7 linked regions of the Oryctolagus cuniculus genome follow. The protein of the gene in region 1 purifies or fractionates together with the protein of each later gene. This does not show direct contact. Links are inferred from orthologs where the notes say so. Each region holds a gene or a part of one and is shown in the gene's direction. Other genes may lie near its edges.

Region 1 (3,640 bases):
AAACCATGTGTGCCATGGACGGCGAAGGCCTCCCAGCCTGAAATGATGAATCTGTCTCCCTCCCCGCCTGCTGCAGAGTTCCCCACATACGGATTCAACTGCGAGTTCGGCTGGGGCTCACACAAGACCTTCTGTCGCTGGGAGCACGACAGCCACGTGCAGCTCCGGTGGAGTGTGCTGACCAGCAAGACCGGGCCCATCCAGGACCACACAGGTGCGTGGCCAAGGGCTCCTGCCGGCGGGAGGGGTGCTCCAGGGCCTTGCTCTCGTGGGCTAGGAAATGCCGTGCACGCCCAGTCGTGCCTCTGTGTTCTGGAAACGGGCCCTCCGCCTCGAGGAGGGCACAAGGTCAGGAGGCCGACTTCCCACCCAGGAGGACGGCGCCAGGGCCAGGCTGCATCAGTCTGCTCACTTCACACTTGCCCTGGGGTTCTGATCACGGACAGTTCCAGACATACTCAAAAGCAGAGGCAAAGGGCACCATGAGCTGGGTGAGTGACCAACCGAAACAGCCCCAAAGCACAAGGCGAGGCTGTGTCCCTCTCACCCCGAGTCTAGAGTATTCCCCACCAAGTCCAGGCATCTTCCGTGCCCCCTCACTTATTTGACAGCTACAGACAGTAAGAGAGCCCGGGGCTTCCTCATGGGGGAGGCTGAGGGTGTAGACCTCAGCCAGCCCCCGCTCTGTCTCCCTGTAAGAGGCAGTGGGGGCAGGGCTGGCGGCGGCTACAGTGAGCTGCCCTATCCAGCCCACCCCATTCTCCTTGGCTGGCCCCAGCCCGTCCTGCCAGACCTCACTCGAGCTCGTCCCTGCCGTGCCCTGCGTGAGAGCGTCTGTGGCCCGTGGCTGGGCAGGACCCTCACATCACTCTCCTTGTCTTCACTCCCTCCTCCCTTAAGGAGACTGAAGGGGCTGCCTTCTTGCCTAATGAGAGTGACAGGGAAATTGGATAAAATTGGGCTCCTCAGTTCTGACACACTTCCCATTGAATCTTAAGACAAGCAGTTTTAGAAAACTTAAAATACTTTGACTGTAAATGGCATCAAATTAACTAAATGCAATTAGCCCAGATGAAGGCAGTAATGGTGGGAAAATTGATGCAAAGTGGGGCCTAATGGTCCGTCAGTCCTGACACTCAGAGGTTAGGACTCTGAAGCTCAAAAGCTGGCAGAGGGAGAGTGCTAGTGACAAGTGTTTCCAGCCCAGACCAGAGCGGGAAAGCCTCAGAAAGGGGGCAGCTGAGAGCTTGCCCTGCCCACTGCAGGGCAGCTGTCCCTGGCCAGCAGGAGGTGAGCCCACGGGGCTAATGTCAGTCAGTGCCGGGCATATTTTTGTAAGGCTACTGGGTGGAACGTTGCAAAGCAGGCACTGGGTTGTTTTAATACAGTCTGGGTAAAAGATCCTGCTATCCATTGTTTTAATTTAAAAGATTTATTTATCTGAAAGAGTGACGGACAGATCTTCCATCCAATAGGCCAGGCCAAAGCCAGGAGACAAGAGCTCCATTTAGGGTCCCACACTGGGTGGCAGGGACCCAACTACTTGAGCCATCACCTGCTGCCTCCCAGGTGCACATCAGCAGGAAGCTGGATCAGAAGAAGAGCCAGGACTCGAACCCAGGCTCTGATATGGATGTGGGATTCCCAAGCAGCAGCTTAACCATGGCACCAAACACCTGCCCCAGAAACAGGTTTTCAAGGAATCAGACAAGTTCTGTTTGCTGTGGGTGCCAGCTGGCTTCTGCCTACCCTCGGTGAGGAAGCCCAGGATGGTGCATTCCTGTAAGACCTGTGGGAATCCATGCTGCCCCCAGCTTCCCTGCCACACACCCATTCCCAGATGTTCACAGGATGGCCTCGGGCACCCTTCTTCCCTCTGCTGAGCAGAGAGACAACAGCGCATACCCCAGCCACCTCCCTCACCCCTCTGTGTTTGTTGCTACAGGAGACGGCAACTTCATCTACTCCCAGGCTGATGAGAACCAGAAGGGCAAGGTGGCCCGGCTGGTGAGCCCCGTGGTGTCCTCGCAGAGCAGCGCCCACTGCATGACCTTCTGGTACCACATGTCCGGCTCCCACGTGGGCACACTGAGGGTCAAGCTGCGCTACCAGAAGCCTGAGGAGTACGATCAGCTGGTCTGGATGGCCATCGGGCACCAAGGAGACCACTGGAAGGAGGGCCGTGTGCTGCTGCACAAGTCCCTGAAGCTTTACCAGGTGTGGCCATGTCCTGGGCTGGGGACTCAGGGCTGGGGTGAGGAGACGCAAGGGCTCCTACAGCGACGTCTGCCCCGAAGACGTCCTCCCTGGAGCCCAGCCCCATGTGCTGGGAGAGAAGCTGCCTCTTGCCAACAGTCGGCCACCACCATGTAGCACTCCTTCCATTTGCTGCCTGTTCCCTGGATTTTTCTTTTTAAAGTTGATTTATTTGAGAAGCACAGATGCTAAGCCAGAACTCCATCCAGGTCTCCCACATGTGTGGCAGGGACCCCCACTCACCTGCTGCCTCCTGGGGTGGGCATTAACGTCCAGTGGAGGATGTGGGCAACTTAACCGCTGGGACCAATGCCCTCCCCACACCCCTTCCATAAGTTTGAATTCTGTGCCATCGCCGGCAGCCAGCACGGACTGCTGGGCCGAGTGCTGGCATTCGGGCTGGACTGCACGTCTGTGCCCTGGCTCAGGCTGCAATCAGGGCGGCCACTTACACCCTGTGAAATGTTCTCATTCTGGCAGGTGATTTTTGAGGGTGAAATTGGCAAAGGAAACCTGGGTGGGATTGCGGTGGATGACATCAGTATCAACAACCACATCTCCCCAGAGGACTGTGCAAGTGAGTATGACTGCCGTGGGTACCAGTGGGTATGTGCCCCAGCGGGAGCCTCCGTGCTGATGGCTCTCACCCACTCACTCACACCTGGTGGCATAACAGGGCCTGAAACCAGCCAGTTCACCCTTAGCTGCCCCATCACCTAAACTGGTTCATTCAGAAAGTCTGATTGAAACCCAGAAAACCTGTAAGTAACATGGAATCCAGCAGAGAAGACAGGCTTGCTGCTGACACTGCACTGGCCACAGCAGTAGTGACAGAGCTGGAAGCTCAGACACCCGTCTCATTCCACAGACCTGGGCTATAGCAGGGCGACCCTTGGGACTTGATAAGATGACACTGTTGATGAGTTGTGTAAGCTTTATGGAAATTGTGTAGGTGTTTCCAACTCTGAAAAGAGCTGACACAACTTAAGAGAAGCAGTGAGGCCCAGAGACTTTGTCTCATATGTGGAAGCTGGTCTTGGTAGGCCCGGCCCCACATGACGAGGTAACTTTACACTCCTGCTCTTGATGCAGAATTGCAAACAGCCTCACTACAGGCAGTGGTCAGTCTGCAGCTCCGTCTGCTGCACAGAACCTTTGCTGGAGACCATTACATCAGAGGATATTAATTACAGCAAAATGGAAAAAACCTACCAGGCAAATCTAAGACAAAGGGGGCCCATAGGCTATAGTGGGTCTCTGGTCACTCCACAACTCTCAAAGCTTTATTACACAATATAGTGACTACAGAATCCCTGCAGTGGCAGTCATTTGGGAGGGTCACCTGATGACACTGGGCAAGAAACAGGAGAGTGAAGTTGTGTGT
Region 2 (4,151 bases), on another chromosome or scaffold:
GTGGGTTTAGGCATAGAAAGGGTCACTTTGCTTCCTCCTTTCGCTGAAGGACGTTCACACATTGTCATTTTTAAAGCACCTGCCTGCACCTGGGAAGTCCACATTTCACGAAGGTAGGAGACACCTGGCGCCACCCTCCAGGTGTGCGCAGAAGCGCGGAGAACGCCAGACGCAAGGTGCGTATTCAGAAGCGCACGGAGGCCCAAGCGCGCGCGGACAGCCTCGAGGCTTGGCCTCGGCTTCGGGGCTGCCCCGGTGAAGCCCGCCGGAGGCCCGAGCCGCCCGGGCTGCAAGCTCTGCTCTGGGCAGGGAGCTGGCCCAGGGCCCGCGGGGGGCTCCCGCTCCGGAGCGGCGCTTCCCCGTGGAACGAGCACTGGGTTCCTCGCGTTCCCGGACTCCCGCTGTAGGTTTCTAGGGCAGAGGCAAGCAGACATCTCCAACGCGAACGCCTTTCTGGGGGCTGCGCAGGTAACTGCAGGCAACCCGAGACCTCCGGGTAAAAGATGCAATGGCCGGGCCGTCGCGAACTGCGCAAGTGGGCGTTCTGCTTAAAGGCATCCAAGTTCGGATTTAAAACTTCAGCTGCGGGCTCTAAAGCGGGCAGAACGGGCACTCGGACAGAAAACCCCAAGGCCACCGGCGGGAGCCCCGCCACTCGCTCCCGAACTCCGGATCAGCTCCGACAGCTCGGACGCGCCTAGCGAGGGCGCCGTGTGGCTCCTGCGCTCCGGGCGACGCTCCCCAACCTCGGAGGCCAGCACCGACTGAGCCTCGGAGTGGCCCACAGCCGCTGCGCGCCGCGTCTCCGTGCAGCTGAAACCGACCTGTTGCGCAGGGACGTTCTCCCCGCCCCGGCCACGCGCGGCGGGGCAGGCGCGGGGAGCCCCGGATCCCCGCCCAGGACCAGGGCAGGGGGTGGAGCCGGCTGCACAGGGAGCCCCGCCCCGCCCCGCCCCGGCCCCGCCCCCACACTCTAAGTTTCGGGTCCGGCTCCCACCCAGCGCTGAGTGTCCGGACCGCGCGAGCTCAGGTTCAGTGCCTACGCCGCGTCTCCAGCGCCCGCGCGGGCCATCCCTTGGGCGCTCCACAGAAAGCCCTGAGCCAGTCCCGCAGCCAGGATTTCCTCGCCTGCCCGCACCCGCAGTGCCCTTGCCCTGCGCGCTCCGGGGTCCCGCGCTCCGAGGCGGCCCGCGCCCCTCGGGGCACCCTCTCCGCGGGGCTAGGCGCCGGGAGCCAGAGGCGGCGCGCGAGTTCAGGGCACCGCGCCCTGCGCAAGGTGCGGGATGGCGAGCAGGGCGCTGCTGGCCGTCGCTCTGTGGCTCTGCGTGGAGACCCGGGCCGCCTCTGTGGGTAAGGAGCCCACTCCCTCGGAGCCAGGTGGAGAGGTCGGGGCGGGCGGAGAGATGGGGATGCCCAGGAGGCCCGAGCCAACTCGCAGGCTGGAACTCGGCACCTGGGCGCCTTGCTGTTATCAACCGGGAAGCCGAGGCTGAGACGCCGGCCCGCGTGCGCGCCGCAAGTGGTCCCTGGAGCTCTCGCCCCGGTCTTTTCCCACGCCGCTGCTCTCGGACCGCCGCCTTCTCTGGAGGGTGTGCCGCTCACACCTTCGGACGCCGGGGAGGCGGCAGTGGGCAGCCTGCAAGGCGCGGTCGGACTGCGCTGGCCACTCCCGCCCCGGCGCGCACCATGCGTCCGGCTGCGCCTCTGCGGGACTCCAGCCGGCCCTGGCGCGCGGTTCCCCTGCGGCTCGAACGCTAGTGCGCTCCCAGTCGTTGTAGGAGCTGGGCTCCGAGGGCAGGAAACTTGATTTCTTTCTTTGGTGCCGGACGCCGCTCTCCTCGCAGAGAGAAGAAGGGGACCTCGGAGCTGAACCCCGGGGCGGTGACGGCTTCCCCAAGGGTCTCTTAGTAACAGCTTCCCTTGTAGAGCAAGTTGACATTTCTCAAAGGGCTGGAGGGTTTGGGATTAGCACACAGAAGTTCAAGTTCGGAAACCTTGCTCTGCGGGGCTTGGTGCCAGTGTCACTGGCCACTCTCCTTGCCACCTAAACTCCTGCCTCTTTCAAGATGGGAATCACACATCTGTTTGATGTGGTCGCTGTCCCCTCTCTCTCCCCAACTCCTCCCCCTTTCCTCCTCACCCCTCCTCTGCGCAGCGCGCTGCACTCTGTACTGCAGTCCCAGCCTCTGACTCTCAGATCTCCACCCTCTGGAGGGTGAGAAAGGAGGAGGATCAGAGAAAGGAACAAAAGTCAAACAAAGCCAGGAAAAAGTTCCTTACACTTGGTTGGAAACAATGGCTCCCATGCCTTCAAAGTCGCTGGCACTCCTTCGCAGTCCCAAGAGCCTTTGTCTGCCTTCATAGAATTTTCTTGATAATGACTCGGCTCATCAGGGTCAGCTCCACCATGGACACTCTTCCCCCAACCCCGGTTCTGGGAGGGGAACGGGAGCCTGAGACATGTGGCTGCTCTGTATCCCATAAAGAAGCGGGTTGCCTGTAAGCCTGGGGTGCCTCCTAGATGATCAGGTTGCCCTTGTACAATGTGCGGCTACCCTTTGGGAGCGGGTGACTTGCTTAATTGGATTGGGCTGTAATTGGTGCCATCAAATTCTAGAGACAGAAGAACTGTTGGTTTGCTTCCCTGGCCTTGAGCTGGAAGGGTAACAGTGCACAAATTAATTAACGTTGGTTATGGGATTTGAACGTAGAAGGGCTTTTTATTGAGTGCTGGCACGTGCACCTGTTAACAGTTATTTTCTTATACCTTCCTAAAGAGTAAGAACTCAACCTTGCCCGTGACAATGAATGAAGCTTAGTGGGGAAAAACCAAAAAATTGAGCACCGGCCTGCAGAGATGAAGTTGATGTTAGCACAGCCTTGTGGAATGGATTCTCATTGCAGACAGGACTCAAATACGCTGGTGTTTTCTTGGCTTCCTGTGAATAGAAGGCATAGCTTAAAATTTTTTTTGCATAGCTAATTTGCATAGCTAGAATGTGAGTGGATCTGTAGTAATGGCTTTTGGGAGACTTTCAAGAGTTCATAGCTTGGTGCTGGGGGTGAGCATAGCTTATTGAGAGCCTACTCGTTTTACTGCTTTTTTTTTTTTTTTTTTTTTTTTTGGTCTCACACCAATGTGCCCAATTAACAGGTGTCTTCCTACTCAGACTTGTGTGCGAGTTGTAGTAAGTTACTGCCTTGAGTGTGTTTCTCAACCTAGGGTTTCCCACAGGCTTGAAAGCTGTGTCCATTTATTTGAATTGTGTTCATTTTTTCCTGTCTCAGACAAAGGGAAGGCTTCTCTCCTGCTGTGGGTATGCTGTCTTCATATGGAAAAGTGTCCTGCGAATGAATTCAACATGGCTGACTGCCAAGACCTGCCACTGTCCCAGGGCGAGCCCTCTGTGCTAGAGGCACCTGAAATGCTTGTTCACATGCGAATTTGTGGATCTGGGGGACACAGCCTAAAGTTTCAGACGCACGGCTCCAAACCCAGGAAGGCCGGACCAGTGTCGGCCAACTACTGTCTGAGACTGATTGATGTCATTCAATTTCCAGGTGTTTTTCTGAAAAAGCTGTGTTAGCCATCAGCAAATGTACAGTTGGTCAGCAGCCGATTTTGCACATCTGTGTGGGTGTGTGGAGACACGCGCAGTCAGTTGTTGGTTTCGCCTGCCGTTGTGCACATGAGGGTGCAGAGGTTCATTGCACTGGGTGTTTACACGGGATATTTGCTTATTCTCTCTTTATTCATACTCGCTCAGATTTGCTCATACCCTCTTATTTGCCCAGCAAGGTCAAGGCTAGTTTAGGCCTGGAGAGTCATTTGTTCTTGGTGTGGATTGGAAAGCTTGAGTGATTATTTAAAAGAATTTTTTTGTTTGTTTATATATTTAAGAGCCAGAGAGACAAGACAGAGACAGAGAGAGACAGAGATCTGAGGTAGAACCAACTCCATCTGCTTGTTCCTGCCCCAGATGCCTGCAATAGCTAGGACTGGGCTAGCACTTGGACTTGGGCAGAATGAAGCTGGGAACCAGGAACTCAGTCCAGATGTGCCACAGGAATGGCAGGAGCCCAGTTTCTGGAGCCTTTGTTAGCTAGGTGCTGGAGCTGGGAGCCAGAGGCAGGTCTCAAACTCCAGTGGG
Region 3 (3,640 bases), on another chromosome or scaffold:
TGTTCACCGTGTTCGCCCAGGGCCAGAAGAACCGCGTGAAGCCGCCCAAGGAGTCGGCGCTGTGCCTCTTCACGCTCCGAGCCATCAAGGAGAAGATCAAGGAGCGCATCCAGTCGTGCTACCGCGGCGAGGGCAAGCTCTCGCTACCCTGGCTGCTCAACAAGGAGCTGGGCTGCATCAACTCGGTGAGCCTCGCCGGCCGCGGGCCGCGCGCCCGGGCGCACCTGTCGTGTGCCAGGCCCTGCTCCTGCCATGGCTCCGCGACACGGGGCGGCTCCTCCTCTGCCTCCCTCAAAGCAGGCTCGGCTGGGTGCCTGTCGCTTCAGCCTTTTTAGTTTTTGTTGTTGTGTTTTGTTTTGTTTTGTTTTGTTTTGTTTTGGTAAAGATTTATTTATTTGAAAGGCAGCATTGCAGAGAGAGAGAGAGAAGCAGAAAGAGAGATATTGTCCATCTGCTGGTTCACTCCCCAAAAGGCTGCAACAGCCCGGGCTGTGCCAGGCCACAGCCAGGAGCCAGCAGCTTCATCCAGGTCTCCCACGTGGGTGCAGGGGCCCAAGCGCTGGGGCCATCTTCTGCTGCTTTCCCGTGCGTGTTAGCAGGGAGCTGGGTCTGAATGAGCAGTGGGGACTCACGGGGGATGCCGGCATTGCAGGCAGAGCTAAACTCGCTGCGCCACCGGCCCACCCATTCTGGCTTGTCTCTAGTCTACAACATAGAGAGGTGGGGGGCTTGCCTAGGGTCACCAGCCAGTAGGTGCAGACCTGGGACCAGACCCTATTGGGCAGGCCCCAGACACCATCTCTGTCGCACTGGTTCCTTCCTCGGGTTTCCTTGGGCTCCGCCGCCCTTGTAGCACTGAGAGTCGCTGACAGGCGTGTGCAGGCTGTGGTCTGTGCCCTTCACAGACGGCGGCCCCAACACTGGGGCTGCCGAGCCACAGCCACAGCCACCCGCCCCCTGTCTCCAGGTGCCGCCCAAGGGTGGGTCTGGTACCAGCCACTGCGGGGGGAGGGTCTCTTCTACCCTCCCGGGCAGCAGGAACCACTGTCTTCCCAAGGAAGACCCCAGGCTCCGAGGGGGCGCGGGCCTTGCTCAGGATCCAAAGTGAGCCCCCCAAGGCCGGGCCTGGGCCCTCCGTGGCTGCAGCCGTCCCTTCTCTGAGCCAGCCTCTGTGGGGCGAGGAGCGAGCTCACAGCCTACCCCGACTCGAGGCTGTTCCTTCCTGTCCGATTGTCACTGTGGGTGTCAGGGTCCCTAGTGCAGTGGGCCTGGCTCCTCCTCCCATCGTCCCCCCAGGTCCCATGGTTTGGGGGCCGATCGCTCCCCAAGCTGTGTTCCACAGAGGGCCAGATTGGGTGGGTGGGAGCAGAAGAGACGGGCCCCGGCCTGGGGCTGCTTGCCTGAGCCTTGGTTTCTCCGTGTGTCACGTGGGCCCAGGAATCCGTGTTCCGCTGAACTGCGCTGGCTGTGGCTGCGGCTGCGTGCTTGCCTCTCCGCCAGCTGGTGGAGTTGGCCTGGTGCGTTGGGAGGCCCCGGTCCTGGGGGAGGTGTTTGCGGTGTAGTTGTGACGCTCACCCTGTGTCCGCTCCCAGCCCCTGCAGATTGATGACGACTTCTGCGGGCAGGACTTCAACCAGCCGCTGGGGGGCACGGTCACCATCGAGGGCACACCCCTGTTCGTGGACAAGGAGGACGGCCTGACTGCCGTGGCTGCCTACGACTACCGCGGCCGCACCGTGGTGTTTGCCGGGACTCGTAGCGGCCGCATCCGCAAGGTCAGGCCCGGGCGGGCTTGCGGTGCGTCGTGGGGGTGGGTGGGGCTCCCCAGGTGGAGGGGCAGCCTCGCTCTGTGACCTGGGAAGCCAGAGTCTGGGGAGGGCGCGAGGTCTGGCCAGTGCCAGAGGCTGGGCCCAGGGACCTCCAGGGGCTCGGCTCACCAGGGTCTTGCAGGAGCCAAGCCTCCCTGGGAGGTGTCCTATGCCGTGTGCCACGTGCAGGGCCCTGAGACCGAGGGAGGCTTGGGCAGGCCTCCGTCCCATGAGCGAGAACCCTTCAGGGCCCTGTAGCCTGCCTGTGCAGCAGCCTGGGGTCGGGGATGCTGAGGCCTCCAGAGTGCTCCGTGAGCTCCAGGGAGGCTGAGTGGGGGTGGGGGCAGGGCGGGCCGTGCAGCCCCCTCCCCTCGGGCCCCAGCTCCCGAGCCCTGGCGGATCCGGTGTCTGCTGAGGCAGCACTGCCCTGCAGGAGCCTATGCCTGCGCGAGGCGGCAAGGCCAAGGGCAGGGTAAGGGTATGCACCTGCCCCCACCCTGCCCCGGGCCGCTGCCAGGGGAGTGACGTAACCAGGCACTGGAGGGACCAAAGGCCCTGCTCAGGGCCCCTCAAGGCGAGGGGACTGGGGTGGCTTGTGTGTCTCCTTGAGTTCTCTCCCAGAGCGGCATGCCTGTGCTGAGCTGGGCCGAGGGCTGGGCCAGGAAGGCTTCCTGGAGAGCGTGGGCAGAGGGGAGCCGCCCGGGCCCCCTGGCGTGTGGTACCTGGTGGGGACTCGGCTTTAGGGCAGGCCCAGCCGCTAGAGGAGGCTCCGCAGGGGGACGGAAGGGCGGGGGTGCTGGGCGCAGCAGGGCTCAGCGAGCAGGGCGGGCCCGGGGATGAAATAACAGCCGCTGAGGCTGGCGCTGACGCAGCTCGGCGTGCACCCGTGGGTGGGGCCGGGCCTGCCGCCAGCCAGGGCCTCCTGGCCGCTCCGCCTCTGCCGTGGAGGTCGCCCCGGGAGTCAGGTCCGCCGCTCTCTGGGAATTGAACCCCCCACCCCCACACCTAGTCTTCCAGTCTGTGAAATGAACCCAGATGTCTGTGATCTGGGCTGAGCGGCCAGGGGCTGGGGTCACCCTGGTGGGCTCAGCACTGTCCGGTGCCCTCAGCCGGGTCCCGTGTCTGTGGCGTGAGGGCCTTTCCCCGCTGTCCAGTGGGCACGCCCGCTTGGCACACAAGAGACACACACACACACACAGGCTGCGGAGCCGCCCAGGGGCCTGTGGCTCCCCCGCCGTGCGTGTTGGTGCCTGGTGCCTGGTGCCTGGTGCCTGGGGTAGAAGCTGGGGTGCTGTCAGCTTGGAGATGTTCCCACGGGCACCTCCACTCGGCTCCCAGCACTGGGAGCGTCCCCTTTGATGGTGGGTGGGCTGGCGGGGGAGGGGGGCAGACAGGCCCGGTGCCGCCCGCAGGCTCCCGGTGAGGCTGGGAGGACAGGTTCCTCCGGTCCTGACTCCCCTGTGCTCCTGTGCCCGGGCACACCTTTGCCTGGCAGCTTCGGCTGGAGGAGCCCCAGGACGCGGGGGTTCCCTAAATCCCTGCTCGCCGTTGTTCTGCTGCCTCCCCACCCCAGGCCCACAGGAGGGAAACTGAGGCCAGAACAAGGAATCGTGTGTTGGTCATGAAGAGGTCCCTCCATGCTTCCCTCCCCCACTCTGCCCCCTTCCCCCTCCAGGCCCGAGGAGGGCCGTGGCCGGGCAGCTGGGGAGGGTCTGTCCTCTGCCACTGCAGGCCTCTTGCTGACTTGTTTGGGCAGCTGCTGGGGAGTCCAGCTGGGGAGGTCAAGTGTGAGCTCCCCCGAGAGCCCGGCGTTGCTGGTTCAGGCTGCGTGA
Region 4 (4,301 bases), on another chromosome or scaffold:
ACTGGCTTCTGATTATACACACATAATCTTAAATACTCTCCTCTGACATTTGAAACATTTTTAAGAAAGGAATTAAATCCAACTAATTGCCTGTCTAACTTGAGAACAAAAAGCATATTTTCTAGTCCCTAGAGAGAGTGTGTGTGAGAGCAAGACATGTACTTAACAGACTTGAGAGTTTGCATATGAGAGCTTGCATGCGTACCACACAAATCATGTGCACACGAGAGCTTGTGTGCGTACAGGACACTGAGCTGCTCCTGATCAAACCCAGGAAACAGTTCTTTACATTAAGCCTAGGAATTCCAGCATATTTTAATTCCTCCTCTGGGCCTGAACACACTTTAATGGAAACCTCAAATAACTCATTCTTTTTCATACCATTGACACCCCAATATTTTATCTGTAGAATAAATCATCATTTTTTCTATATGCAGGTAGGAGAGACAGAAAAATCTGGCCTTTTATTTAAGCATCCCTCAATTTCCCTTTAACAAAATGGACAGAGTAGTAAGAAAAAGTCATTAACTGGATATTCCTCCCCTATCCCCTACTGAGACACGTTTTTGCTCATTTATAGAAATATACAGGGCTGGCGCCATGGCTCACTTGGTTAATCCTCCGCCTGCGGCGCCAGCATCCCATATGGGCTCCAGTTCTAGTCCCGGTTGCTCCTCTTCCAGTCCAGCTCTCTGCTGTGGCCTGGGAGGGCAGTGGAGGATGGCCCAAGTGCTTGGGCCCTGCACCCGCATGGGAGACCAGGAGGAAGCACCTGGCTCCTGGCTTTGGGATCAGCGCAGCTCCGGCCATGGCGGCCATTTGGGGGGTGAACCAGTGGAAGGAAGACCTTTCTCTCTGTCTGTCTCACTGTCTATAACACTACCTGTCAAATAAACAATACACACACACACACACACACACACACAAAGGCAGATACACCACCACATGATTCCTAGGTTCCAAAAAAAAGAACTGTGTATTCCTGGCAAATGATGGGCCGCTTCCAGACAGGCAGCCAGCAGCAAACTGGCACATTCCAAGGCCAGGCAAGCACAGAGACAGTGGCCGGAGAGAGCAGTGGAGTGTGTGTGCGTGTGTGTGTGCTCGTGCACGTGTTTCTCCTGCTTCTTTCACACACACCCACACACCCTTCTTCCTAACTCACAAACGCAGTCTCACATACACACAGTCTCACAAGTGTAGCTTTAGCTCTCACACTTGTCTCTAGGTGTCTCACGCACACAGGAGCTCACACACACTACCCATGTATTATGTATAGTCTCTCTCTCTCACTCACACACACACACACACACACACGCACAGCCTCTCTCACCGTCCACAATCTCCATCAGATATCTGTTCTGTGCACGCACGCTGCAGACTTTCTCTCTCCTCCGCCCCACACGCCCCCGTGGGCTCCGCCCCCACCTTGGCCCCGCCCACCGCAGGCTCCGCCCCGGCGGCCGCGGGCGGGGCGAGCCGGTGACAGGAGGGGCCGGGCTGGTTCTGTACTTCAGACGCGCAGGCCGGCCGGGCGCGTTTCGGAGGCTCCTGTCAGCCGCCTGCGCCGCGGATCCCGGGGTGACGGCCGCTGCGGGCGGCGTCGCGGCGTGGCCCCCGGGACGGCAGGAGTAGACGGCGGGATGTGCTCGGCCGGGGAGCTGCTGCGGGGCGGCGGCGGCGGCGGGGAGCGTGACGAGGACGGGGACGCCCTGGCGGAGCGGGCGGCGGCGGCAGCGGGGACCCAGCGGGAGCCCGGGGCGAGCCCGCGGCGGCTCGGGCGGCGGCCGCAGGCGGAGAGCGAGCAGGTGAGGCGGGGAGGGGCGGCGACGGCGCTGCCGGGCCGGGTCAGGAGCCCCACCCGGCGACGGAGGGAAGTGGCCGGGCCGCCTCTCGACTCTGCCCCGCGTGGGGCGCTGGTGGCCTCGGCATTCGGGCGGCCATCGGGAGGAGCGGTTGGACGGCGCGGCCGGGCGGGGTCGGGGGTCGCCGCCGTCGGACCGAGGGGTCCGGGCTGGCGCCGGGTTGCGGAAATGCCCTCCGTACGGCGGCTGCTTTCAAAGCCTCTCGCGCAAACACTTCTTTTTCGACTTGGTGTCCGCTCCCCCGAGCTGCGAGTGGGCCCTCTGCTCCGGTCCCGCCCTCCATCTTGCGGTGGGGACGCACGCCTCGCGGGGCCCTAAGGTGCGGGTGTTTCTCCCGCGGGCGGCCGCGCTGTGCCGCGTGCGCTGCAGCTGGCCCAACAGCACACGGCCCGACGGGGGCTGTCCCCGAGCAGGCGCTTCGCCGGAACCCAGATGACACCTGAGCTTCATTTACACAGTGAGAAAGCAAGAAATTGCTTTCTGTTAGCACCAAAGGGAAAGAAGTTTAAGGGGCCAGCCCCAGTAGGGGAAAAGGGAATTGGTTTTTGTTTTGTTTTTTAACTCTCCGAGTTTGATCTCATGAAATCTAGTGTGACAGTGGGCAGCTTATTTTAAAAACTGAGCTACACAGAGAATGGATTTTCACCAGCAAAGACTGTAATTAGATCTCCAAAAATACTCGAGATAAGTCATCTTTAGGATCACGCGAAGAGACGGGAATTCAAATGGTTGTTGGCCTTTCCTACAGCCTATATTGTTAAGACAATAATACCCGTCTCTTCTGGTCCTTCTCCATCTGTCCTTTTTGTCACGTTTCACAGACTCCAGTATCATCACTAAACGCCTTAATAGATAAAGCATAACTTCTATTATCGCAGTGTTACTTAGGAAGCAGAAATTGCTGTGTTGGGTACACAAAGTAGAGCTTCCTTAGCATTAGGTGTGATGGCCATGTGGAGTGTGTTTTTTGAAAATATATGTGTGACAGTATAAGAGATGGTGACTGAAGCAAATCATTGGTAACAGAGATCTTCCGGATTCCCTTCCTGGTGGTTTTCCCGCTAACTGTACCGTGACTCAATAACTAAAGGGCTCGGTTTCCTCTTACTTTAGTTTAGTTGCTCAACTGGAAAAGAGAAGAAAACTGCCACGGGAACTCCCTTGAGGGCAGGGGATGCATTTGTGCCCAAGTTGCCACAGTAAATTTTCAAATGGTTGTAAGGGAGCATCGTTATGATGATGGGGACTTCATCAGTAGTTCTGGTCTTACCAAAGTTGCTCACGGTACACAAGAAAAAGGATGAAACAAAAGAGTGAACCATGTTTCCTAGAAAATGGACTAAACTTTTGCATACCTGCTTCCGTCATTGCATGTCGTGGAAATTCCTTTTCTTGGGCTCCATTAGAAGAGTTATTTTTATAATTTTGGTTTATACCTTGTGGTTTATTTATGTACTGTAAACCTACATACAGTCATTGACAATCACACCTGAGATATGCATTGCTTAATGCATCAGCACCAAAGAAGAACTTCTTATCAAGAAGCCAAAAACAAGCAAAAATATTGCTTTTTAGATATATCATTTCTTTGCAATATTATCATGAAGTACTGCTTTCTAGCTTTTTGGTGGTCCTGTGAATGAAATTTAAAATTTTTGCACTGCCATTGACAATGGTGGAAATAACTTGAGATGTACAGATATTTGAGGCAGTGGTAAATGAAATTCGCAACTATAAAACAGATTCCAAGGAGTTGTTTCAGTTAGTTTTTCTTTGGGGGGAATTTTTTGGTAGTTCATTTTGTTTGTTTTGTTGGTTGTTTCAAGGACAAGGGCTCCAAATTACAAACTGAGTATTTTTGAAAAATTGGTTCTTGAGCTAGTGATTTAGAACTTACAGTGATTGTTTCTTTAGAAAAAATGATAGATCAGCAACAGAACCAAAACTAATTAGCTGGAAATGAGGTACAGACTGTCTTCCTGCTGTCCTTTCTGTTTAGCATGCTGCCTGGAATTCCAGAGTCTTCCAGTGGCCTCACGGATGTTAAGCTGAAATTGAAGGCAGCAGCTATCAGAGGCTCGCTCTTACCTGGATCAGGGCTGTGGTGATGTGGTCTTGAACAGTCACTCCAGAGGCACTTGCCTTCTGCTGCTCCAGTTCTTTAAATGATTTTGTCAGCACCGAATTTGTGTTAAACCCCTTTCTACTTCTATTTCCTTTACAGACTTTTGCACTTTCTTGATAATTTAATAGAGCAGAATTTTTCCTTGGGCTATTTCCAGGCCAAGGGCTCCTCCCTATACATCCTTTTGCTGAATTTTCTTTCTGTTCCTATTTTCTTTCCTATTCCTAATTCCCTTTCCTTAGCCTGGTCTTTTGCATAAGCTTTGATTATACAAAATCTATCTTTGGCTCACTGAAATTATAAAACCAGAT
Region 5 (4,247 bases), on another chromosome or scaffold:
GAACATTAATATCAACCCAAAAGCAATGGGAGGAAGAAAATAATAATGCTAAAAGTGAAAATTCCTTTACAATCTATTTTAATGGCTTAAATTCCATGCTAGGACATTCCCTCAAAAAATATGCTTAGCTTCTAGATGTGACAATCTCAGCTTTCCTCCAAGTTAACTCAAATTAAAGAGTGGAGCAGGGGCCAGTGCTGTGGCATAACGGGTAAAGCCATCTGCAGTGCCAGCATCCCATATGGGTGCTGGTTCAAGTCACAGCTGCTCCACTTCTCATCCAGTTCCATGCTAATGCATCTCTGGGAAAGGAGTAGAAGATGCCCCAAATGCTTGGGCCCTTGCACCCACATGGGAGACCTAGAAGAAGCTCCTGGCTCCTGGCTTCAAATCGGCACAGCCCTGGCCATTGCAGCCATCTGGGGAGTGAACCAACAGAGGGAAAACCTCTCTCTTTCTCTGCTCTCTCTGTAACTGTCTTTCAAATAAACAAAAATAAATAAATAAATAAATAAATAAATAAATAAGTCTTTAAAAACAACAACAACCACAACATGTACCAAACTTGGTCTGGGACTTTTTTTTTTTTTTCCTGGATGTAATGCTCACCCTACTTCTGAGAATAAATTAGCATACCTGATAAAATGCGTAAGCACTTTTCTGATAAACTCTGAAGAGGCTGAACGCCCAGTCACCCAACTGTCAATCAAGCCAACCTTTAACCAAACATAATTTTATTTTGTACCAAATCTAACAATCATTATCTACTCCTATAAAATGGGCTTCCTAAGAGCAAAACTTGGAATTCGCTTGACAGGCTCCTTTATCTAGATTTGCAATAAATTCTAATACGTGGTCATAACTGAATTGCTTGAAAACTTTAAAACAAGTATGAAAATGTTCAAACACTAGGGTAATTTTCACCTGAGGTACTAGCATAAGGGATGAAGGGATGATGGATGACAGAGCCATATAACTACAGGAATATAACTAATTCATTCATTTTTGTGATAAACATTTGAGAGCCCGCCGTAAGCCAGACTTTGACAAGTATTTGAAAACTACCACATGCCACGCAGTGTTCTCGGAGCTGCAGATCCACCAACGAACAAACGAGACTCTGTGCCTCAGACTACAGTTTCCACAAGATCTTACCCTTCTGCCTCTCTCTGGAGGGTGCGTCTTTTCGCTAGTCACTTCCCATGATTCTAATCGCGCAGAAAAGCCCCGCTCCCTTGTCTGCCACTCACCCAGGCTCCCTTCGGAAGATGGACTACAACTCCCATAGTGCCCTAGCGGAGTGCCCTATAAGTGCCACCACCCTCCTGACTGTGAGGGGCGACTACAGTACCCAGAGTGCTCTGCTTTCCCTCCTGGGTGTTATTGCCCCCTTCCCGGTGCGGGACGCCGCGGTGGCCAGCGCGGGTGCCAGGCCTGGGGTTTTCTGTGTCCTTTCCAGGGTCAGGGACGAGGCAGTGACTTGACTCCTGGGCGCTGAGCCCGGAAGGCAGCGCAGGAGGCCGCCGTCCCACCTGTCTGGTTCTCGTCACCCTTCGCTGTCTCCTGCTCCACCTGCGGCCGCCTGGACGGCTCCGGGTCTGACCGCTTGAGGCAGAGGTGGCAGTCGCGGCTGACGGGGCTGAGGCAAGGCTGCGGCCCTCAGGGCGGCGGTAGCGCTGGGGGGGAGGAGGAGAAGGAGGAGGAGGAGAGAAGATGGCGTCGGAGCTGGAGCCCGAGGTGCAGGCCATCGACCGCAGTTTGCTGGAATGTTCCGCCGAGGAGATCGCGGGGGTGAGTGCCCGGACCCGGGCGGGAATGTCCAGCCGGCGCAGGCCGCCCCTGGGGCGGGGAGGAACGATTCCTGGGAATCCGGGAGCGGCCCGCACTGACGAGGGGTGACAACTGCGCCGGCCCCGTCTTGTGGGCTACTAGCCCGGGAAGGGCGCCGGTCTTGCTTTAGTAGCCCTCAGGGCTGTGCAGTGCACTAGCAGCCTTTGTGCTTCCCCTCTGCCCAGGCGAGGTCGCAGCTCCTCCACTCTACCTCCATCCCCTCACGTTCCTCCAAGTCCCCAACACATGGGTCATTGCATGTCGGCTCGTGAAAGACGGGAGAGAAGGGGACGCCTCGGAGTGTTTGTAGTGTGATCGTCCAGCTTCCTGTTCCCGGGATCAGCAGAGCAGTGCCTCCGCCACCGACATGCATGCCACCCTCACCGTACCCCTTGTTTCTGCCGCGGCGCCGGCACCAAGGAAGCAGCCAGCACCGTCCCCTCACTACCCCCACCAGTGCCTTTTTCACTTTTCAGTTGCCCCGGTTTGGTTCGTGGCCGGCGTTGATGCATATGTGTGCAAAGTCGTGTCTTGACAGTTTACCGAGCTGGAGGTGAAATAATTTTCCTGGGAGTTGGAGGGAGTTGGATGGAGAACAAACGTTATATAACTTTGAGAGAGCAGCTTTTGTCAACAAATACAAACTAATAATGTGAGCGCGGGGCTGGTAGCAGCAGTAGTGTCCCAAAGTTAAACCATGTAAGCTCAGTATTGTACAAAAACTGTAGTATGAATGAACGAGAATAAGTAGCAGAGTTATAAAATGATTAATAAGCAAGAAGGCATCTTCCCCCTGTAAGTACAAGGAACACCCATTAGAACAGGTTGTCCCGAATGATTATGAATGGACCAAAACAACTTGGGCCCCACCTCTAAGGCCTCCAGTATAAAAAACTCCTAGCAGCCATGAAGTCAGCAGTCTGAAGATTAGGGCACAGTTTGGGGTAGACACTGCTGGCAGGGCAAGAAGTTACTTTGAGTGAATTGCTGAGCACTAAAGTTCAGATGGAAATAAATGACAAGAGTAGAGGTGAAAAGTTTAAGGAGATAAATTGTGGAATGAGGAGTCTTTCTTGGGTTTTTTAAACTGACTTGTTTAGTCTAAGTCTGTTTTCATTTACTTTTACTTAACATTGCACAACTGAAGAATTGTCAACTCCCATCTGCCTTTGATTTATAAGAGAAAATGAAAGTAGGGAACAGTGAAATAATAATGACAGCTAGGCACTATTTATGCCTCTTCTATTGATACATGGTTATTTACCTTAAATCTCAAGGTAGGTTTGGTCCCCCTGCCCCAGCTAAATTTTGTGTCTGTTAGCCCAGTGATACAGGCTACATACTCCATTATTCCTATTGAAGTGCAAGCTAAAGTGATTAGAGCTTCTCCTGGAAATTAGAGCTTCTCCTGAGGAAATCAGTTATAAAACCAGTCTGGAGGCCAAGCTTCTAGCCCTTGCTCAGTGAAATCCTCAAGCAAGATACAGCAGGGAAAGAAGGTCAAGAGGAATGCAGCAAAACCTCAGTTTGGCTTCATTTGAGCTGAACATCACAGTCTGAGCTAATTTTATTTAACTCTGTTCACTTTTAAATGGCTTCTGAACAGTTAGATTTCTGAAAAGTTCAGTCTGAAGGCCAACAACACTTCCTCAACTAAAAAAGATGCAAACTAGTATGTATAACGTAAAGATGGCCTTAATATGTGAGGGGTCTGTACTTAAATTCCATATGTGTTTACTTACAACACCAAACACTTCAAACTGTTGTTCTGGTTTAGCCTCTAGAACAGTCCTTTATCAGAAATTAAGATCAGTTAATAAAGTTGCCAGATTGAAAGTGAATTTTGTGGGGCCGGCGCTGTAGCACTGTGGGTTAATGCTCTGGCCTGAAGCGCCAGCATCCCATATGGGCGTCTGTTCTAGTCCCAGCTGCTCCACTTCCAATCCAACTCTCTGCTATGGCTTGGGACAGCAGTAAGAAGATGGTCCAAGTCTTTGGGCCCCTACACCTACTTGGGAGACCTGGAAGAAGCTCCTGGCTTCAGATCGGTGCAGCTCTGGCCATTGCAGCCATCTGGGGAGTGAACCAGCGGATGGAAGACCTCTCTCTGTCTCTACCTCTCTCTGTAATTCTCTCTTTCAAATAAATAAAATAAATCTTAAAAAAAAAAAAAAACACATAAAAAAGAAAGGGAATTTTGGGGAAGGTGAACAAGTAGAGAACGCAGTCGTTGCAGCCCTCAGACGCTCTACCCCTGGGAATTGATTCTACCATGTGACTTTCCCAATACTGCTTGACTTTAATTACATTTAATATCACATATTGATTGTATTATATACCCATGGGTGGTTAGGATTTTTTTTAAGATTTTATTTATTTATTTGCGAGGTAGAGTTTTAGACAGAGAGAGAGGTCTT
Region 6 (4,127 bases), on another chromosome or scaffold:
GGAAAGCTAGTTACCTCGTACCAAAGCGATCAAACCAGTGGTTCCTCGCATAGCAAGCAACACATCTGGAGAAAGGTCAAACTCACCACCTGCCTATGGCCTATGGGAAATGAATGGCAACTAAATGGCACATTCTGTCTCGATGGCTAAAAGGAGTTTAACTGAATAATCAGCAGAGTTAGAATGACAGTGAACACCTCGCCAAGCTGTCACAGCAGCCAACCAGGTGAGAAGAAGCAAAAACAGAAGGAAACCAAGTGCCCACAACCTGGTATTTGCTATCCTCCGGAATCCTTCCACGCAAAACCCCGGATCGTGGGGATTCGGGAAGCAGAGCGCACCGCCGCGGCCACAGCTCCACCTGCTGAGTACCTTCGCTTCCTCCGGGGAGCCTTCCGGCGTGGCCGGCCCTACGGGAGTGGCCTCAGGTGGGGGCCCGAGGAGGATGCGGCGGCCTTCCGTCGCCGGCAGGCAGGGTGAGGTGGGAGACAGGTGCTGCTTAGCTTTGGGCAGGGGCACTGAGGAGGAGGAGAAAGGTCAAGTTAAGGCAGAGAGAAAGCGGCCAGGAGCCGGGTTCCCCCCTGCCTGGGCGCTGACTCACCGCGTGCCCGTGGACAGAGCCGGCTGCCTCGCTCGCGTCTCTGGGCCTCAGCTTTCCTATCTGTGAAATGGAGGCGACGACAGTGTCCACATCGTCGGGCGCGAGCTGGGTCACGGCAGCCGGCGGCCGCCCAAGGCGCTTCGTAACCTGCACGGCTTGGGAGGGAGCACCGCGTCGATTACGGTCCTAAGGCGAGGCAGCGGCTACCCGGGCGGGGTCCGGAGCCGTGACGCTGCCGAGGCGCCCGGGCGCCGCTCTTCGGCGTGCTTCTCCCAGCCTCTCCTCCCGAGGGGTCCCACCGCCCAGGCCCACGCTCACCCCTGGACCCCAGAAACTTTTGCCTCCGGCTCGCTCCACCCGCACGCCCTCTCTCTTCCCGCCCTGCAAGCCTCTCACTCACCTGCCGGCCTAGGGCCGGGGGGTGGGGGAGCCGCATCTCTATGGTCGGCGGCGGATGAGGCGGCCTCCCGGGGCGCCCTTTGTGCGACCGCCTCCGGCCCAGCTGCCTCTAGGACATTGGGGATATGGAGGCCACTCTTTCTTCCATTTGTCGGCCGGCGGGGTACTCTATGGTCCCCCCCGTCGTCGTCGTCCTCCAAACCCACAAGCCCAAGGCGTACCATCGAGAGTTGTGGGGCAGAGTGGCATGACCTTCTTGGTGGGTGTGGCGGGAAGTGGTTGAAAGAACCCGGGGGGGCGGGGCCAAGCAGCGCTTCCCTCAGGCACTGAGAGGTGAAACCATCGAGACGGAGGGCCAGAGAGTCATGGCGGTAAGGGGGCGGAGTGGAGAATTCTTCCACACCACGTTGCTGGAGGCGCGAGCCGAGGTGTGCTGGGGATTCTGGAAGGGACTTCTGAGCGTCTGGCAAGGACCGGGAGCGGGGAGAGCTTTGTCTGTGGCCTCGCATGCATGGGTGTTTGGGGCTTATGGCTTCCGCTCTGAGCCTCCATGGAGGTCACTACTGTCAGTACACCCATCCGTGCCTAGCGCTGAGCCAAGTTGCGCTCGAGGGGCAACAAGGCTGTGAGAGTTTGCACGTTTGTTGAATCGGCAGTATTAAGCGCTAAGCCATAAAAGGTAGGTGGGCGCTGTGTTGTGGATAGCCTTTGAATATAGGCTGAGGAGTTTTCCGGGTCAGGTCCGTTGGGAGTCAACCCTTGAAGGTACTGGTGTAGAGAGAGTGCTGGAATCGGAGCCGAAAGATCTGGACCCCTGTGTGGTGTAGCTGTTGGGTGATGCAGGAGGTGGCGACCCATTGAAATGCCATTTCAAGAATTCGTTCACTTTTCTTTAAAAGATTTATTTATTTGAAAGAGTTACACAGAGAGAGAAGGAGAAGCAGAGAGAGAGAAAGAGCGCTCTTCCATCCACTGGTTCACAATTGGCTGTAATAAATGGCCGGAGCTGTGCTGATCTGAAGCAAGGAGCTTCCTCTGGGTCTTTTGGTGCAGGGCCCAAGCATTTGGGCCATCTTTTACTGCTTTCCCAGGCCACAGCAGACAGCTGGATCGGAAGTGGAGCAGCCAGGACTCGAACCAGTGCCCATATGGGATGCTGGCACTGGAGGTGCCAGCCCTGAACTCGTTCAGTTTTAAAGGGGCAGGTTAGGTGGGAGGTAATAAAGGTTTAAATCGGGCATTAGGAACTGGGCACATAGGGAGATGGTATTTGGACTCCTGCTAGTGGACACAGGCCACTGGGTTGCTGACAGGTCAATGAAGACTCCTGCCAGCCGGGCCCTTTCTATCTCAGCTGGTCCTTGTGATCGCGAAAATTTCACCCATTCGTTACCCTACTGTGAAGCTGGTTCCTCTGGCGGGAAACTGAGGTATGGGCAGGCGAGTGGAAAGGGCTTGGAATCTCAGCGACAGAGAGACCTGAAACCCCCGGGTGGTGAGGACCCATCCTTCCTGCTCCTGCTGGAGGTGGGGGTGGGTGGGAGAAGGGACTCTCCTTGCCACGCTAACCTTGTGCTCTGTCCCCTCTTGTCCTCTGCTCTCCACCTCTAGGTTTTGACAACGCCGCAGGGCGCGTAAGGTTCAGTGCTGCCCTCCCAAGATGCCACTCTCAGACTTTATCGTGGCCCTGAAGGACAATCCCTACTTTGGGGCTGGCTTTGGGCTGGTGGGTGTGGGCACAGCCCTGGCCCTGGCCCGAAAGGGTGCCCAGCTGGGCCTGGTGGCGTTCCGGCGTCACTACATGATCACGCTGGAAGTCCCGGCTCGCGACAGGAGCTATGCCTGGCTGCTCAGCTGGCTCACCCGCCACAGTACCCGAACTCAGCACCTCAGCGTTGAGACGTCGTACCTTCAGCACGAGAGCGGCCGCATCTCCACCAAGTTCGAATTTGTCCCCAGCCCTGGGAACCACTTCATCTGGTAAGGTTTTGTGCTCTTGGAGGGCTCTGTCTTGCGAGGGAGCTGGCTTTGACCCCTTCCTTGCCTCTGACCGATCTTTTTCAGGTATCAGGGGAAATGGATCCGGGTAGAAAGAAGTCGGGAGATGCAAATGATAGATTTGCAGACGGGGACTCCCTGGGAATCCGTCACCTTCACAGCCCTGGGCACCGACCGCAAGGTTTTCTTCAACATCTTGGAGGAAGGTGTGAGATGGTACAGGTGACCTCTTCAGGGGACTGCAGGGATAGGGACACGTGACATTGGGAGGAGGCAGCTTGGAGGGAACAAGATTTGAGTCAGGGGCTCAGGGCACACACAGAAAGGAGCCATCTTGGCATAGCTCGACCTGACTGAACGGTCAGCAGTCGTGAAGGGAATGCCCACCTTTGGTCTCTCCACTCTCAGCCCGAGAGCTAGCCTTGCAGCAGGAGGAAGGGAAGACGGTGATGTACACAGCTGTGGGCTCCGAATGGCGCCCCTTTGGCTATCCACGCCGCCGCCGGCCCCTGAGTTCTGTGGTTCTACAACAAGGTCTGGCTGACCGAATCGTCAGAGATGTCCGGGAATTCATTGAGCACCCCCAGTGGTACACGGATAGAGGTGAGAAGCGGCTGGGGTCTTGGCTAGGCCGGTTCTAGCGGAGGAGAGGGGCTGGTCGCTTGCCAGATGGGGCGATGCGAGGCTCTGCTCTGATTCTCAGAGGTGAATGGGGAAAGCAGGTTTCTCCCCACAGCAGGGCTGGTAGGTCCTGACCTCTGGGGCTGTATCCCTAGGCATTCCCTACAGACGTGGCTACCTGCTTTATGGCCCTCCTGGTTGTGGAAAGAGCAGTTTTATGTGAGTAGTCAACATTCTCTTAACTCTGCAAAACTTAAGTCTTTATGGAACAGCTGGGCCAGAGGGTGGAAAGGGAAATGAACCTGGTGGCCAGAGAGCGTTAGGGTGGATGGTGGAAGAGTTAGGTCTCTGAGACACATCTCCCAGGGCTGTGCGAAGAGCAGCTGGGCCCAACGAGGAGTTCCAGGGTCGCCTACCTGCTCCTGTCCTGCCACCTTCCACAGCACAGCCCTGGCTGGGGAGCTGGAGCATAGCATCTGCCTGCTGAGTCTCACGGACCCCAGCCTCT
Region 7 (4,316 bases), on another chromosome or scaffold:
CAGGGCTGGCCTAGGCGAAGCCAGGTCTCCCATGTGCATTCCAGGGGCCCAGTGACTTGGGGGCCACCTTCTGCTGCTTTCCCAGGCTCATTAGCAAGGAACTGGATTGGAAGTGGAGTAGCTGGGACTCAAACTGGTGCCCAAACGAGAAGCCAGTGTTACAGGTGGTGGCTTAACCTTCCACACTGCAATGCTTGCCCTGGGTCTTTTTTTCTTAAAGATTTAGTTTATCTGAAAGGCAGAGTCACAGACAGGAGGAGATGGAGGGAAGGAGGGGGAGAGAGAGAGAGAGAGAGAGAGAGAGAGAGAGAGAGAGGCAGCCAGGACCCCAACCAGAGTTCATGCGGGATGCCCAGGCGGCAGGGTAATCTACAATGCTGAACTCCATCAAGGGCCTTATCCAGGAAGCAGCATGAAAAAGGATGGGAGTCAGAGCTGGCTGGCTGGGTGAGGGGCCGCTAAGAGTGGGGCAGAAGGGGGAGCCAGCCACAAGGAAGACCCAGAAGATGCAGGAGAGAAGAGAGTTCAGGGCTAGAAGGCACAAAACAGGCCAGACTGGCCACCCCAGCTTAACCAAGTGACCGAAGTGGACGTTCAGAGAAGGCTCTGGAAGAGAACGTGGGGGACGGTGTAGGAGAGGGGTTTTGTGGGGAAGACTTGGGATGAAGGAGCATGGGGTCTCAGGACAAGGAGTCTGCGAGTGACAGAGCAGGGTCCACAGCGGGGAAAAGGGATTAAAACACACACACACACACACACACACACACACACACACACACACACGAGGGGAGGGGACATCTTGAGGTGGGGGAGGTTCTGCGGTTGAAGAGTGCGTCACTGGGGAAGAGCGGTTGGGTAACAGGGCTATCAAGACCGGGTACTGCGGGAGGTCTTGGGGTGGGTAAGGTCTGGATGACCAGAGGTGACGGTCTTGGGGTGGGCGTCTCGGGGTCAGTCCTCAAGGGCTCAAGGGCAGCCGACGGCAGGCGGGGTGGCCCTGCGGGAGAGACCCGGCCAGCCCCAGGATGCGGAGAGCCCGACCGGCGCGCCGGGGCGGGGGGCGGGGCCGGCACCGCCCCGCGGGTCCCCCCACGCTGCAGGGGGCGCTGTGAGCCTGGGCGGCCCCGGGCTGGGCGGCGGCCGCTCCTAGTGAGCGCGGCCCCTTTTCCGGGTTTCCTCCGCCTCCTCCTCCTCCTCCTCCTTCTTCGCCGCTGCCCCTTTCCCGGCCGGTGGCTGCCGCTGCCGGTGCCGTCGCCGCCGCCGTCGCCGCAGCCGCCGCCGCCGCCTGGGGGCCGCGAGCCGAGCGGAGGCCGCCGCGGAGCGCGAGCGCCGCCCGCCCCGCCGCCCCGCCGGCTGCTCCAGGGCCGGGCCGGCTCGGCCGGCGCCCCCCGCGCCCCCAGCCCGCCCGCCCCCGCGGGCCCGGCCTGGCGCGGCCGCCCGCCGCCGCGCTCCTCCTCCTCCTCCGGCGCCCCGCGGCCCGCCGCCTCCTTCGCCCGCCGCCCCGCGCCCCCCGCCGCGCCGCCGCCGCCGCCCTCTGCGCCCCGCGGCGCCCCCCGGTCCCGCCCGCCATGCCCGGCCCGGCCGCGGGCAGCAGGGCCCGGGTCTACGCCGAAGTGAACAGCCTGAGGAGCCGCGATTACTGGGACTACGAGGCTCACGTCCCGAGCTGGGGGTAAAGCCGCCGCCGCCGCCGCCCCCCGCCGGGGCCTCTCACCCCCACCCCCGCCGGGCCGCCCCCCGGCGCAAACCGCACTCGGCCCCCGCGATCTGCCTCCCGCAGGCCGCTCGCCGGGGCAGGGCTGGGCTGGGCGGCAGAGGCCCCCACCTCGCACATGTCCTCCTCTTCCTCTTCCCTCACCCGCGGCCGTTCCTCCCCCGCCCCCAGCTTTGTGCACCCCTCTTGCCCCTTCCCTCCGGCGGGGGGGGGGGGGGACCAGGGCCTAGCGCGGAAGGGAGGCAGCAGCCGCCCCTCAGGCTGGGGGTTTCTCTCGGGGTGGGGAGTCAACAGCTGTCTTCTATGAAAATGCGCTGCTTTTTTAGTTTTCTGACACGAGGCGGGGTGGGGGGGATTTTTTCGAAAGATGTGCAGATTCTCAGAGCTGGCGCTGGCTACCTTCGGGGTGTGAAATAGGGGGCAGGTGCTGTGGAACCGCGGGCAGGGCGGAGTGCTCCCAGGGTCTGCGAGATGGATGATGGACTCAGAGCGTCTACCCCCAAGTTACAAGGGACCAGTTAGGTTGGGAGCCCTGCAGAGCAGCAGGAGCCTGGTGTGTGTTGTAGCTTTCATATAGGGACTGAGTTGCAGCATGGATTATAGACACTTCCAAGCGCTTGGTTCGTGGAAGTGGCCGGCCGGGGCGTATCGTGGGCATAGGCTCGGCGGACCCCAAGGCCCAGCATTTATGTGTGTCTTTTGCCTCTCACAGTAATCAAGATGATTACCAGCTGGTTCGAAAACTTGGTCGGGGAAAGTATAGCGAAGTATTTGAGGCCATTAACATCACCAACAATGAGAGAGTGGTTGTAAAAATTCTGAAGGTGAGTCTCCTATAAGTGGTTTGTAACTTTTTCCCCCACAGGCCAAAAGGACGTGAGTTACCCGAGCCTCGTTTCTAGAACGAGCTGTGCCGGCTCTTGCGTTATGTCTCTTCTGTCCAGGACGCCCGGATCCCACCCCGTTTTCCTTGGACTTAAGAAAACACGCAGACCGGCCTTAAATCTAAGCAGAACGGATCAGGAACACCCTTGTTCTAAAATGTAAATTAGAGGTTCCCAAAGCAAAAATCCCAAAAGGGCCCCATTTGTTACAAAATAAATAAATATTCAGAGGGAAGAAAAGCCTTTTCATGGAGATTCCATGGATCCGAGGGCTCTTTGAGCGCTGTGTTTGTTAGTCCACAAAGAAAGTTGGAGAAAATTGGAGCCAAGGGGAAGGAAACTCCTCGGGGTGATAACCACTTGTTTCTCCTCTGACAGTGAAGTTTCAGGTGGGACAGCTGAGGGGCGCAGGGAGTGCTGGGAGCCCTGGAGCTGCTTATCAGCTAGTAAAACTGGAGTTAGAAGGCACTTTTAATCACTCAAGCTGTTGGAACAAAACTGTCTGATGTCTGCTTTCGCAATCTTAAGTTTGATGATAGGCCTTCTGTTATCTCTTGAGTGAAGACGTAATGAGCCTGAAGAGTTGGCTTCAGGTAACTGTGTGGCTTTAATAATGTTTTACTGGGTGTCCTGCAAAGTTGTTCTTAGAAGCTGTCATGGGTCTTCATTATCGCCAGATCCCTGAACGTGTGTTTGGAGAGGGTCTGTGGCGGGGGCTGTGGGGCTCAGAAGCTGCCTGTGCATGTCAGGCTGTGCGGGGAGGCCCTGTCCTCTCAGGCCGGGCTCAGGCTTTCTGGGAGCCGCCTCTCAGAACCGTGCCCAGCAGCCTCGCTCAGTGCTGTCCTAGCCGGTGATGGAGGAGCAGGATTCTGGTAGAGAGAAAGCGGCAGAGGCCGCTGTGCCGTCAGACGCTGGGCACATGAAGTGAGGGACGGGTGTTAGGGATTTGCAGACTGGCGCCCCCTCCCCTGAATATGAGCCACCAGTGAAGTCCCAGGGCCTCCCCCCACCCCAACAAGCATAAATATGTGAAGAAATGGTGTTCCTTCAAGGCAGTCACCTGGGGAGGCCATGTAATTCCTCTGTGTACATAAGCAAAATGCTTTACTGCAGGCTGCTTTGACTTGAAGCAGAGCTGAAGTTGGAATTAGAAATAGCCGTATTCCCCAGCTGTCTGTCTGGAAGAATGAGTGCTGACTCTGAGGCAGTTCCAGAAAAATGTCTAAACTTTGGTGCAACAGCAGCATTGTTAGAGTAAGTGCCATTTCCTGTGTCCTCTTTGAACGGCGCAGCGTTCAGGTGTGTGTGTGAATGCCTGTCTGTCCAGGAGAGCATCGCGTTGCTCCTGGGTCATCCTTGCACAGCACTTCCTGGTGACTAGAGAGTTTTTCCTGTTCTCTGAAGCGTGCTGGGATGTTTTAGGGAACTCAATATGAAGACTGCCACAGGTGGTTTTTACAAAGGAGAGGCCCAGGCACAAAGAAACTCAGCCAGCTCACCACCAGCACTGCTGCTCCCTGCTTTTCCCTCTCAGCTTTCTTCGGCGCTGGATTGCGGGATCTTCATGTTGCGCCCAGAGTAAGTTCCAGTGTTCTGGAATGAGCTCCGCAGGCCCCTCTGGTGTCCAGTTGATGAAGCGTTTCTTGTTGCTTCTTTTCACGGTGCGGCGTGAACCACCTTGCTTCCAGGGCTGAACACTACACTCCTTCTGTATGCTT

The links.
Region 2: the proteins of NRP1 (region 1) and KDR purify together in Homo sapiens (affinity purification with western blotting; 7 studies listed by BioGRID and IntAct, with this or other methods). This does not show direct contact. The link is inferred for Oryctolagus cuniculus from reciprocal best matches to the Homo sapiens genes NRP1 and KDR.
Region 3: the proteins of NRP1 (region 1) and PLXNA1 purify together in Homo sapiens (affinity purification with western blotting; 4 studies listed by BioGRID). This does not show direct contact. The link is inferred for Oryctolagus cuniculus from reciprocal best matches to the Homo sapiens genes NRP1 and PLXNA1.
Region 4: the proteins of NRP1 (region 1) and FAM241A purify together in Homo sapiens (affinity purification with mass spectrometry; 3 studies listed by BioGRID and IntAct, with this or other methods). This does not show direct contact. The link is inferred for Oryctolagus cuniculus from reciprocal best matches to the Homo sapiens genes NRP1 and FAM241A.
Region 5: the proteins of NRP1 (region 1) and UBR2 purify together in Homo sapiens (affinity purification with mass spectrometry; 3 studies listed by BioGRID and IntAct, counting the BioPlex papers as one, with this or other methods). This does not show direct contact. The link is inferred for Oryctolagus cuniculus from reciprocal best matches to the Homo sapiens genes NRP1 and UBR2.
Region 6: the proteins of NRP1 (region 1) and BCS1L purify together in Homo sapiens (affinity purification with mass spectrometry; 3 studies listed by BioGRID and IntAct, counting the BioPlex papers as one, with this or other methods). This does not show direct contact. The link is inferred for Oryctolagus cuniculus from reciprocal best matches to the Homo sapiens genes NRP1 and BCS1L.
Region 7: the proteins of NRP1 (region 1) and CSNK2A2 purify together in Homo sapiens (affinity purification with mass spectrometry; 5 studies listed by BioGRID and IntAct, counting the BioPlex papers as one, with this or other methods). This does not show direct contact. The link is inferred for Oryctolagus cuniculus from reciprocal best matches to the Homo sapiens genes NRP1 and CSNK2A2.

The regions. Positions count from the first base shown.
Region 1 is NC_091444.1:108,709,556-108,713,195, forward strand, and holds part of NRP1 (neuropilin-1), read left to right. Parts: intron 1-76; coding exon 77-214; intron 215-1,945; coding exon 1,946-2,217; intron 2,218-2,736; coding exon 2,737-2,833; intron 2,834-3,640. UniProt on the Homo sapiens protein: Cell-surface receptor involved in the development of the cardiovascular system, in angiogenesis, in the formation of certain neuronal circuits and in organogenesis outside the nervous system. Mediates the chemorepulsant activity of semaphorins.
Region 2 is NC_091439.1:109,274,426-109,278,576, forward strand, and holds the start of KDR (vascular endothelial growth factor receptor 2 precursor), read left to right. Parts: upstream 1-1,283; coding exon 1,284-1,350; intron 1,351-4,151. UniProt on the Homo sapiens protein: Tyrosine-protein kinase that acts as a cell-surface receptor for VEGFA, VEGFC and VEGFD. Plays an essential role in the regulation of angiogenesis, vascular development, vascular permeability, and embryonic hematopoiesis.
Region 3 is NC_091441.1:109,964,023-109,967,662, forward strand, and holds part of PLXNA1 (plexin-A1), read left to right. Parts: coding exon 1-185; intron 186-1,592; coding exon 1,593-1,775; intron 1,776-3,640. UniProt on the Homo sapiens protein: Coreceptor for SEMA3A, SEMA3C, SEMA3F and SEMA6D. Necessary for signaling by class 3 semaphorins and subsequent remodeling of the cytoskeleton. Plays a role in axon guidance, invasive growth and cell migration.
Region 4 is NC_091439.1:52,823,033-52,827,333, reverse strand, and holds the start of FAM241A (uncharacterized protein FAM241A), read left to right. Parts: upstream 1-1,470; 5' UTR 1,471-1,643; coding exon 1,644-1,808; intron 1,809-4,301.
Region 5 is NC_091436.1:127,374,443-127,378,689, reverse strand, and holds the start of UBR2 (E3 ubiquitin-protein ligase UBR2), read left to right. Parts: upstream 1-1,334; 5' UTR 1,335-1,713; coding exon 1,714-1,791; intron 1,792-4,247. UniProt on the Homo sapiens protein: E3 ubiquitin-protein ligase which is a component of the N-end rule pathway.
Region 6 is NC_091434.1:20,774,644-20,778,770, reverse strand, and holds the start of BCS1L (mitochondrial chaperone BCS1), read left to right. Parts: upstream 1-1,242; 5' UTR 1,243-1,371; exon of another isoform or gene 1,372-2,430; intron 2,431-2,611; 5' UTR 2,612-2,660; coding exon 2,661-2,980; intron 2,981-3,064; coding exon 3,065-3,204; intron 3,205-3,406; coding exon 3,407-3,601; intron 3,602-3,774; coding exon 3,775-3,838; intron 3,839-4,062; coding exon 4,063-4,127. UniProt on the Homo sapiens protein: Chaperone necessary for the incorporation of Rieske iron-sulfur protein UQCRFS1 into the mitochondrial respiratory chain complex III.
Region 7 is NC_091449.1:41,552,336-41,556,651, reverse strand, and holds the start of CSNK2A2 (casein kinase II subunit alpha'), read left to right. Parts: upstream 1-1,422; 5' UTR 1,423-1,568; coding exon 1,569-1,672; intron 1,673-2,426; coding exon 2,427-2,538; intron 2,539-4,316.